Linked DNA regions of Rattus norvegicus. The protein of the gene in region 1 interacts with the protein of each later gene in a biochemical or structural test. Links are inferred from orthologs where the notes say so. Each region holds a gene or a part of one and is shown in the gene's direction. Other genes may lie near its edges. The genes, in order: Areg and S100a4.

Region 1 (4,416 bases):
TTCATTAAGCCAAGGGAAATCCATTTCTGAGCTGCTAGGGCATGAAAGTTTGATGAACTAACTGCCCTCTCTTCCGTTGTATCCTAGTTAAATAAGCTCCTGACACACACACACACTCTATCCCATAGCCGTGGGTTGATTTTTGGTTTTTCTTTTCTTTTCTTTTCCTTCCCTTCCCCTCCCTTCTCTTCCCTCCCTTCCCTTCCCTTCCCTTTCTTTTTCTCCCTCCCTCCCTCCCTCCCTTCTTTCTTTCTCTCTCTCTCTCTCTCTCTCTCTCTCTCTCTCTCTCTCTCTCTCTCTCTTTCTTTCTTTCTTTCTTTCTTTCTTTCTTTCTTTCTGCCAGTCTTTCTGCTAGCCCAAATGGTCCTCAAACTTGCTCCTTACTCTGGAAGTCAAGATCCTCTAGCCAGAGTACTGGAGTCACTGATGTGTCCTCATTAGGGCTCCCTCTTAGGCTGGAAACCCGGCCTCGCTGGATTCTTCTAATTTGAACAGCAGACGCCCCGCCCACCTAAATTATCTTGACCCTTTGCCTTTCTATGAAACTTTCTTCTGCCCAGCAACCCTCTTCATAAAGGTCAGTTTAGCCCTCTATCTCTATCAGAGCAGAGGCCAGAGGCAGATTTCAGAGACAAATTAATTTGAATAAAATCTACACGGCATGCGAGTTTGTCTCCTGTGTTAATTCATTCTTTCTGTCTTTCACACCTGTCTTTTATTGGCTTGTAAACTGGGGAGGGGCGGGGGGGGCGGAGCATACTTACCCCCAGCAGTGTATTATTGGTCTCCAGTGTATTATTGGGAGAAGCCCAGGTTGACTTCTCCCTGAAAACTGTCCTTCAGTCTCCTAAGTGCCACTGTCCAGCCATGTCCAGGTAAAATCTCAAGTGTTTAATTCGACACTAGTAAAAAGAGCAGCCAAGACTGCAGAGAGGAAGACCCCAGGGAGGGTGTCTGATTGATAACGGGGTCAGTAGGAGTCCTTTAGCGTCCAGGTGGGGAAAAACCGGGTCAGGGACTTGAAAAGGGGGTTTGATTGATATCCACACCGTTTGAAGTCCTTTAGAGCCCAGGTGGGAAAAGGACCCCAGACTGCCCACAAACCCAAACAGCTTCTCTTGTGGAGTCGCTGTCTCTTCCCAGTTAAGTAGCTTCCTTTATCCTCCTCAAGTCTTCTGGCTACATCACTTAGCCACAGTTGTTCTTAAAGCTCTACGTCCTAACATGGAACTTTGGTACTTCATCTCCCGGATATATATATATATATATATATATTGAACACTCCAACTTAGAACACAACACGAGTGGGAAACTTTCCCTCCGCGTTAACAGGTAACAGGGCTCGATCCCCACTTCCTCCCGGATCAGCTGAGTTTTGGGGTAATAACCTCCCGCCTCCACCCAGGAGAGGCGTGACGTCACGGGCGGTGGTTCCCGCGGGTCTATAAAGTGCTCACCGCACCCTCCGCCAAGTTCGCTCTGCTCCTTCCTGACTCGCGGCCGCTGCCCTGTCATTTTGAGCCGAGCCCTAGGCGCTGGCAGCTCCAGCCTCCTGGAGCCCGGCGGGGCTGGGCTTCCCCGCGCCGGTGCTCGCCCGTTGCTTCGCGGTTCCGCTGTTCCGGCCGCCGGGAGCCGCTGTCGTGTTGCCGCAGAGACCCCGACGCCGCCGGGCCGCGGAACCAATGAGAACTCCGTCGCTTTCGCTGGCGCTCTCAGTGCTGTCGCTGCTGGTCTTAGGCTCAGGTGAGCACCCCGTGCCTGCAGCAGCCTCCAGGGTTGTCGCTCCTTGAATGCTGCTGCCTCTTGATGCCCCCAAATTTATCTGACCGGGGAACGGATTCCCTTAGCTCGCACCCCTGAAACCGCTCACGCTAGAAGGGCAGACCCGAGTGAGTCTCTAGCATGACCCAAGGACCAGCTGATGGAGACCTAAGAGGTCATTTTGGTCCTCCCTTTCCCTTGATAACTGAGGAAATCCAGGTCCAGGCAGGTGAAGTAATTTCCACAAAGGTAGTTAATCCTGGAGGATTTGAAGGAGGGTTCTTTGCCTTCTGTTTCCATTCCTCCGCCTAGTGATTTTATTTTTACCTTCCTAAAGCACCGCTGGCAACGCTGTTTTGATATTAAAAACAAAAATCAAAATGAAATCAAGGGCTGGAACTCAGGACTCCCCAAAGGGTTTGCGGGGTGCTGAACTTTTTCTCTATGTGGTAATAATAATAATAATGTCTTTACACTGAAAACCCTGTCACTGTTGGCACTGCTTTTCGCATCTCAGGCACAGATTCCACCGCTGTAAACAAGCGTTAAAATGTATCAGTACCCGCTACAACCAGGCAGGAAAGCTTTGGAACAATCGCACCCAAGTTAGACCTGAAGGGAGAGGTACTTACTGGCAGGACTTATTAAATTGTGGACATTATGTAGGCTAACTGTGGAAAAGAAAACCCAGATAAAAGAAACTCTGTAATTGGGCAGCTGAGTTTGCTTCTTGGCTGACTGTGAAGTTGCTTTTACGAGTGACTCAGTCGAGGGAAAACAAAACAAAACAAAACAAAACAAAACAAAAAACCAAACACCCAATAGCACACAGGCAGTAGCTGCTTTAATATGAGGAGACACACGTCTACACAGCAGGGGTCCCTTAGTGAGCCAAAAGCACCAGACTCATCTTCTTCTCTCCGCCCCTGCAGGCCATTATGCAGCTGGGTTGGAACTCAATGGCACCAGCTCTGGGAAAGGAGAACCGTCCTCTGGGGACCACAGTGCTGGTGGACTTGTGGTTTCTGAGGTCTCTACCATAAGCGAAATGCCTTCTGGCAGTGAACTCTCCACAGGGGACTATGACTACTCGGAGGAGTATGATAACGAACCACAAATATCCGGCTATATTGTGGACGACTCAGTCAGAGGTGAGTGGAGGACACTAGGAAAGTGTTGTCTGGGAGATGTGGTTTTTTACCTCAGCAAAGTGGCTTCAGAAGGAAGGCGGCTAGGCTTTCCTAAGGGATTTGAAGGCAGGCGTGGCTGCTGCACATCCTCTGAAGAGCTATGTGGAGGTTGCACCCTGTAGGTCCAAGACATTCATGAAGATCTCCTGTTGCATGCTTGATGTTTGCAACTCTGGGAAGTAAGCAGAACGGCGCTCATTTTACACACTAACTGAAGCTCAGGGAGGTTGTGCGCTCCCCGGGAGCAAGCAGCTGAGTCAGAATCAGAACCCCAGTCTGCTTGATTCCGGGGACTAGCATCTTTCCCAGTATGCCACATGACCTCCATTCTGGAAGCATCGGTTAGTCATTGACCATTCCTGAGGCCCTTGTGCCTCAGCAGGTGCGTCCCCTCCTCCACACTGCCTGTCTTCAAATAACTGCACAACTAACTAACTAACTAACTAACTAATAACTGCATAACTAACACAAATAAGGGAACAGAAAGAATAAGGACGGAACTCTAGGGATGTTAAAGATGTATGTGTGTATTGTATTTTTAGCTAAACTACTGATCCTGTTTTCTTTTTCCTTTTGCTCTTATTAGACAGATTTTATTTTTTTTAAAAGAAAAAATAACCTTTCTTTCAAATGAGAGGGATAGACTCACTATCCTCGTTTTACTTTGCCGTTTGGGGCGGAGAAGAGGCCATTGATAAGTCAGATCTAAGCATCTACCTTGGAGGCAGGGCAAGGTGATTTCAGAGTTCCTTAAGGTCCCTAAAACTTTCCTAGCAGCTTTCCTGACTCCTCCTCCTCCTCCTCCTCCACCGGAGTTTCCCAGAGCTGAGGAGGAATGAGGGACAAGGACTGAAACAGGGTAACTCGGGGGAGGGGTACACTTCAGTGAGCAGTCTACGCCAGTGCCGGGCTCCTCAATTATCTTGTTCATTTTTGCTTAGTTTTTGTTTTTAATGTTTCAATATTTGTAATAGGACAGGGGAATAGGTCGGACCAGGAGGGCATCCACCAGCTTGTTAAAGACGTGTTACATTATTAACAGTTCTGGAGGCCAACTTCTGGAGCAGGCAGGCGGCTGCTACTGAGAATTGCAGTGAAGTGTGTACAGCCGAGACTGTTGGTTGCTCTCCTTTAAAAGGCTGTTTGCTTGAATACCCAGGGGTGTGTTGTCTGCTGCAACCCTTCAGCACAGTGACTATTATTTGGCTTGGACTTCTAATCTACCTGATAAAGTGTAGCGATAATGCGTTTAAGACAATTCTCCCAGAGGGCTTCCTCTCACTTGCACTTTATAATGATCAAAAGAAAGTTTCTGTATAAACAATGCATGGCTACCTATTTAACATTCCTTCTAATTTAACTTTTGTTAATTCACTTAAAGTAAACCCCTAGAACATTCCTAATATTTATCATTTTCTTAAGACAGGGAGGCTCTGTCTTCGACACCCCCATGAGCCTTCCATTA
Region 2 (4,346 bases), on another chromosome or scaffold:
TGTGCACACAGTTGGGACTGCTGTGGCAGGGGCCTCCTCAACTCCCAATAAAGAAATGTCATCTTGGCTTACTTTGGTTTTTCTGGTGGGACACACTGGGTCTTGGGACTGAGTCCTTGTTCCTTTATGCTCCTTACCACTGGAGAAAGAAGGCTTACCACTGAAGATGGACCCCCAAAGCATCAGACCCAGTAGAGATGTGCAAATCTTACTGTTCAATAGGAGGGTGGGGGCAACACAAGGTCTCATTGGATGAGACTGGAGGGTCTCTGTCTCCACCTCTCTGTCCCCTGTCTTGAACTAGAAGTCCTTATCTTGGGCTTTCTAGGAGAACAAGGGGCTCCTTGGGAGGTACTCAATACAAGGAGGATGCGGTTGTGGGACCCAGCATCAGACCCAGTAGAGATGCTCAAATCTTAGTGTCCAATAGGAGGGTGGGGGCAACATAAGGTCTCATTGGATGAGACTGGAGGGTCTCTGTCTCCATCTCTCTGTCCCCTGTCTTGAACCAGAAGTCCTTATCTTGGGCTTTCTAGGAGAACAAGGGGCTCCTTGGGAGGTACTCAATACAAGGAGGATGCGGTTGTGGGAGCCCAGAGTCAAACCCCCTCTAACCTTCACTTAACCCCTGAGTTTGTACCATATCCTTAGAGATTAATCCTGACTCCCTATTCACCTCTTTCTTCTCTAACTCTCTTCTCCAAGCTGAGCATTCAATCCCGAATGCTTCTGTCATCCCCAATACCCTTACTCAAGCTTCCATCCATGCATAAACCTCTAGGCCACACTACCACCTAACTCCATTATGATATTTCCCACTTAATACCTGGGGTGGTCCCAAGGTCCCTCCTGATTTGCTAGCCTCCACCCTGGATCTTCCTGATGTGACAAGAAGCTGTGTAGGCTGGAGAGAAGGGCTGACATTGTCCCACTGGCTGGGTCACCTCCTTAATTCCTCAGCCAGATAATTCCAGGGCAGTTTCCCATCTCTTGTCTATAACACCAGCATCTCCTTTTCTGTGCCCCACACCTCATGTACAGGTTGTCCCTTCTCAAAGCTTCCTAAGATTCTAGCTGAACTGCGGCTACTTGGTGGTATCCACCCCATCCAAGTCTCTGCCCTGCCCACTGGAGCGCACTCACTACTTGATTGTGCCTGCTAGGGAGCAGGAAGCCTAGCTCTTGGCTGGGCTGGTGGCTGGGCTGTGACACTTACCCGCATCGACCAACAGCAAGAGCAGTATCCATGTTCCCCCATCCCCTGCATGGGCAGGGCATGGCAGGGTATAAATAGGTCAGATTGTTGGGCTCTCCCCAAACCTCTCTGTTCAGCACTTCCTCTCTCTTGGTCTGGTGAGTCGTGTTGGCCTGATAGCACTGTTAGCAGTTTAGAGGCTGAGGCTAGGACAGGAGAAAGGGGGCGTACTGGGGGGAGGGCAGAAGTCTTTAACGGATCCAGATGAGAGATTCTGGTACGGAGGTGTGTGTGTGTGTGTGTGTGTGTGTGTGTGTGTGTGTGTGTGTGTGTGTTGCACAAGAATGAAAACTGAAAAACAAGCAGTATATAAATGGCTCCCGGAGATTCTGAGATGCTGAGGCTTGCTTGTATGTTGCTATAGTGTATGTTGGTGCTTGGGAGCCACTGTCATGGATAGGTATGTTGCTGGGTCATCCAAGCCAGTGTGTGGACACTCAGGTACAGGAAGCAAAGTGAAGGCATCAGCAGGCATTTTTGTTTTACGATGTTTAAATTACACTTATTTTATTTGTGTGTACGAGTGTATGGGTGGGGATGGGGCAAATGCCAAGGGGCACTTCTTGTGAGAGTCAATCTGTTCCTTCTAGCATGTGGGCTCTGGAGATCAAACTCAGGTCATTGAGCTTGGTGGCAAGCACCTCTACCTACTGAGCCACCTGTTCAACACCCACCTGTAGGCATTTGTGTTCATAGTAGTTCATAGCCCTATGAACATATAGCACCTAGGCCAAGAGAGCCTGGCTTCCCCACCCCCTCCCCTTGTACCCCAACCTCTGCCACTTCATCTCACTCCTACTAGGCAGCTGGGTTTTTTCCCTCACTGTAGGCCCCTGGGCAGGCAGCCAGCAGCCGCGCCCAACGCTGGGAGGGAGAAGAATGGGTCAGAGGCTGGAGCTTGTGGTTGAGTTGGGGAGTGAGTAAGCTGAGTGAGGGATGGAAAACTGCTGTTGTTGAGGCCAGGCCTGGGGGGGAGGCACAGAAGGCTGCTGGCATGAATTTCTAGAGTTTGAGTGGTAAGTTTTGCAAGTTTCAGAGCTTGAAGCACATATGAGCTTCTTGCCATCAGTGGGTACCACTCCTCTGATCTCCCTGGGAGTGAGGTCGGTCTCTGGAAGTGCTCTTAGAGAGTAGGTTGGAGTAGAGCACTAAAAACGGGGACAGACTGAGTGTGACTTGAGTGATGCCTAGCAACATATATCCAGCTCTCAACACACTGTTGGTGTGGGTTGGAGAAGGCTACTTTTGTGTCTCCTGCCCCTAGGTCTCAACGGTCACCATGGCGAGACCCTTGGAGGAGGCCCTGGATGTAATAGTGTCCACCTTCCACAAATACTCAGGCAACGAGGGTGACAAGTTCAAGCTGAACAAGACAGAGCTCAAGGAGCTACTGACCAGGGAGCTGCCTAGCTTCCTGGGGGTGAGTGGATCCTGTCTGTGTATTGCATATGTGATGCATCCCCAGGAGGAGGCTGGGGCTGGAGATATCTATCTATCTATCTATCTATCTATCTATCTATCTATCTATCTATCTATATCTATATCATCTATCTATATCTATCTATCTATCTACATATATATATATATATATATATATATATATATATATATATATATATATCTCTCCCTACTCCTGGCGCTTGGTATGGAACCACAATGAACCATCTACTTCACACCAGCCCCCCGTTGAGACAAGGCTTAGAATGAAGTTAACTGAAGTGGCACAGGAAAACCACATTAGGTAGTCAGTGTCTGAAAGCACAGCCTAGATCAGGACAGTCTTTCCGGTGATGTGCAACAGAAATCGAGTTTCTGCTTGTGAAGACATGATTGTGGAGGCACACAAATGCCTGCAGATCTTCCCCTCAATGACACCTTATCTTAGTTAACACCTCCTTGTCATGACAGTTACCTATAGACATAGTTAAAACAAGCGTGGGGAAGATGTGGTCACATCCTTTCCCAGCTAGCCCATGTGCTCATCTCACAGTTGAGCCCTGAGGCTAGCACGGTGTCTGCAAGCCTTCCTGAGCTCCTGGCTGGAGGTGGCGTCTAACTGTACCTCTTCTACCTCCAGAGAAGGACAGACGAAGCTGCATTCCAGAAGCTGATGAACAACTTGGACAGCAACAGGGACAATGAAGTTGACTTCCAGGAGTACTGTGTCTTCCTGTCCTGCATTGCCATGATGTGCAATGAATTCTTTGAGGGCTGCCCAGATAAGGAGCCCCGGAAGAAGTGAAGACTCCTCAGATGAAGTGTTGGGCCAGTGGGGGAATCTTCCATGTTGGCTGTGAGCATAGTGCCTTACTCTGGCTTCTTCATACATGTGCACAGTGCTGAGCAAGTTTAATAAAGAGTTTTGAAACTATGTCTGAGAGACTGGAGATTGTGGGTGGGTGGGTGGGGCTGAGGGAGGGTGGTGGCAGAGATGGCTGGAAGTTGACCTGGAGCTTTGTGGGGGCCAAACTAGAAAAGGTTGGGGAGGGGTGAGTGACTTATTCTGAGTTCATTACAAGTGTATATTTGTGTGTATGCGTGCATGTGTGTGTGTGTTTGTGTGTGTTCACGTGCTCCTGTACATGCAACAAAGCAAACTCTGGGAACACTAAAGGCAGAAACCACCAGAGGCTTGCCTTGAAAGGCTCCAGATGTGGGATGTTATCCAGCCCACGGTTCTCCCTCCTCTCTCTAGTACTGCCTCTGGGCTCAAACTGAAGTTGGGATGGAATTAAAGGTCACATCTGCTGCTGGTTGGGGTCTGGAGGGAAGACAACAGGCCTGCCTGAGTCATGAGGCAGGAGTCTTGAAGCCAGAGAAGGGTGGGGAGGTGGACTGGCATTCAGCCCTAACATTTATAGTCCAGATCCTGTCTTGCTACCCGTTCTAGCTCATTGGCTTCACTGGATTAATCCTTTCCTTTCCATGAAGGGTTGGACAAAGAAGGGTAATATAGAGTAGCATAAGAATCTCTCTCTCTCTCTCTCTCTCTCTCTCTCTCTCTGAGAAGTCTCACTCCTGTAGCCAAAGGTAGCCTTGAACTTCTGATCCTCCTTGCCAGCTTCCTCAGTGCTGGCATTATGGATGTATG

The links.
Region 2: the proteins of Areg (region 1) and S100a4 form a complex in vitro, tested with the Homo sapiens proteins (2 studies listed by IntAct, with this or other methods). The link is inferred for Rattus norvegicus from reciprocal best matches to the Homo sapiens genes AREG and S100A4.

The regions. Positions count from the first base shown.
Region 1 is NC_086032.1:17,262,730-17,267,145, reverse strand, and holds the start of Areg (amphiregulin preproprotein), read left to right. Parts: upstream 1-1,504; 5' UTR 1,505-1,682; coding exon 1,683-1,743; intron 1,744-2,693; coding exon 2,694-2,912; intron 2,913-4,416.
Region 2 is NC_086020.1:178,387,213-178,391,558, forward strand, and holds S100a4 (protein S100-A4), read left to right. Parts: upstream 1-1,316; 5' UTR 1,317-1,353; intron 1,354-2,149; exon of another isoform or gene 2,150-2,271; intron 2,272-2,519; 5' UTR 2,520-2,534; coding exon 2,535-2,675; intron 2,676-3,332; coding exon 3,333-3,497; 3' UTR 3,498-3,625; downstream 3,626-4,346. UniProt on the Homo sapiens protein: Calcium-binding protein that plays a role in various cellular processes including motility, angiogenesis, cell differentiation, apoptosis, and autophagy.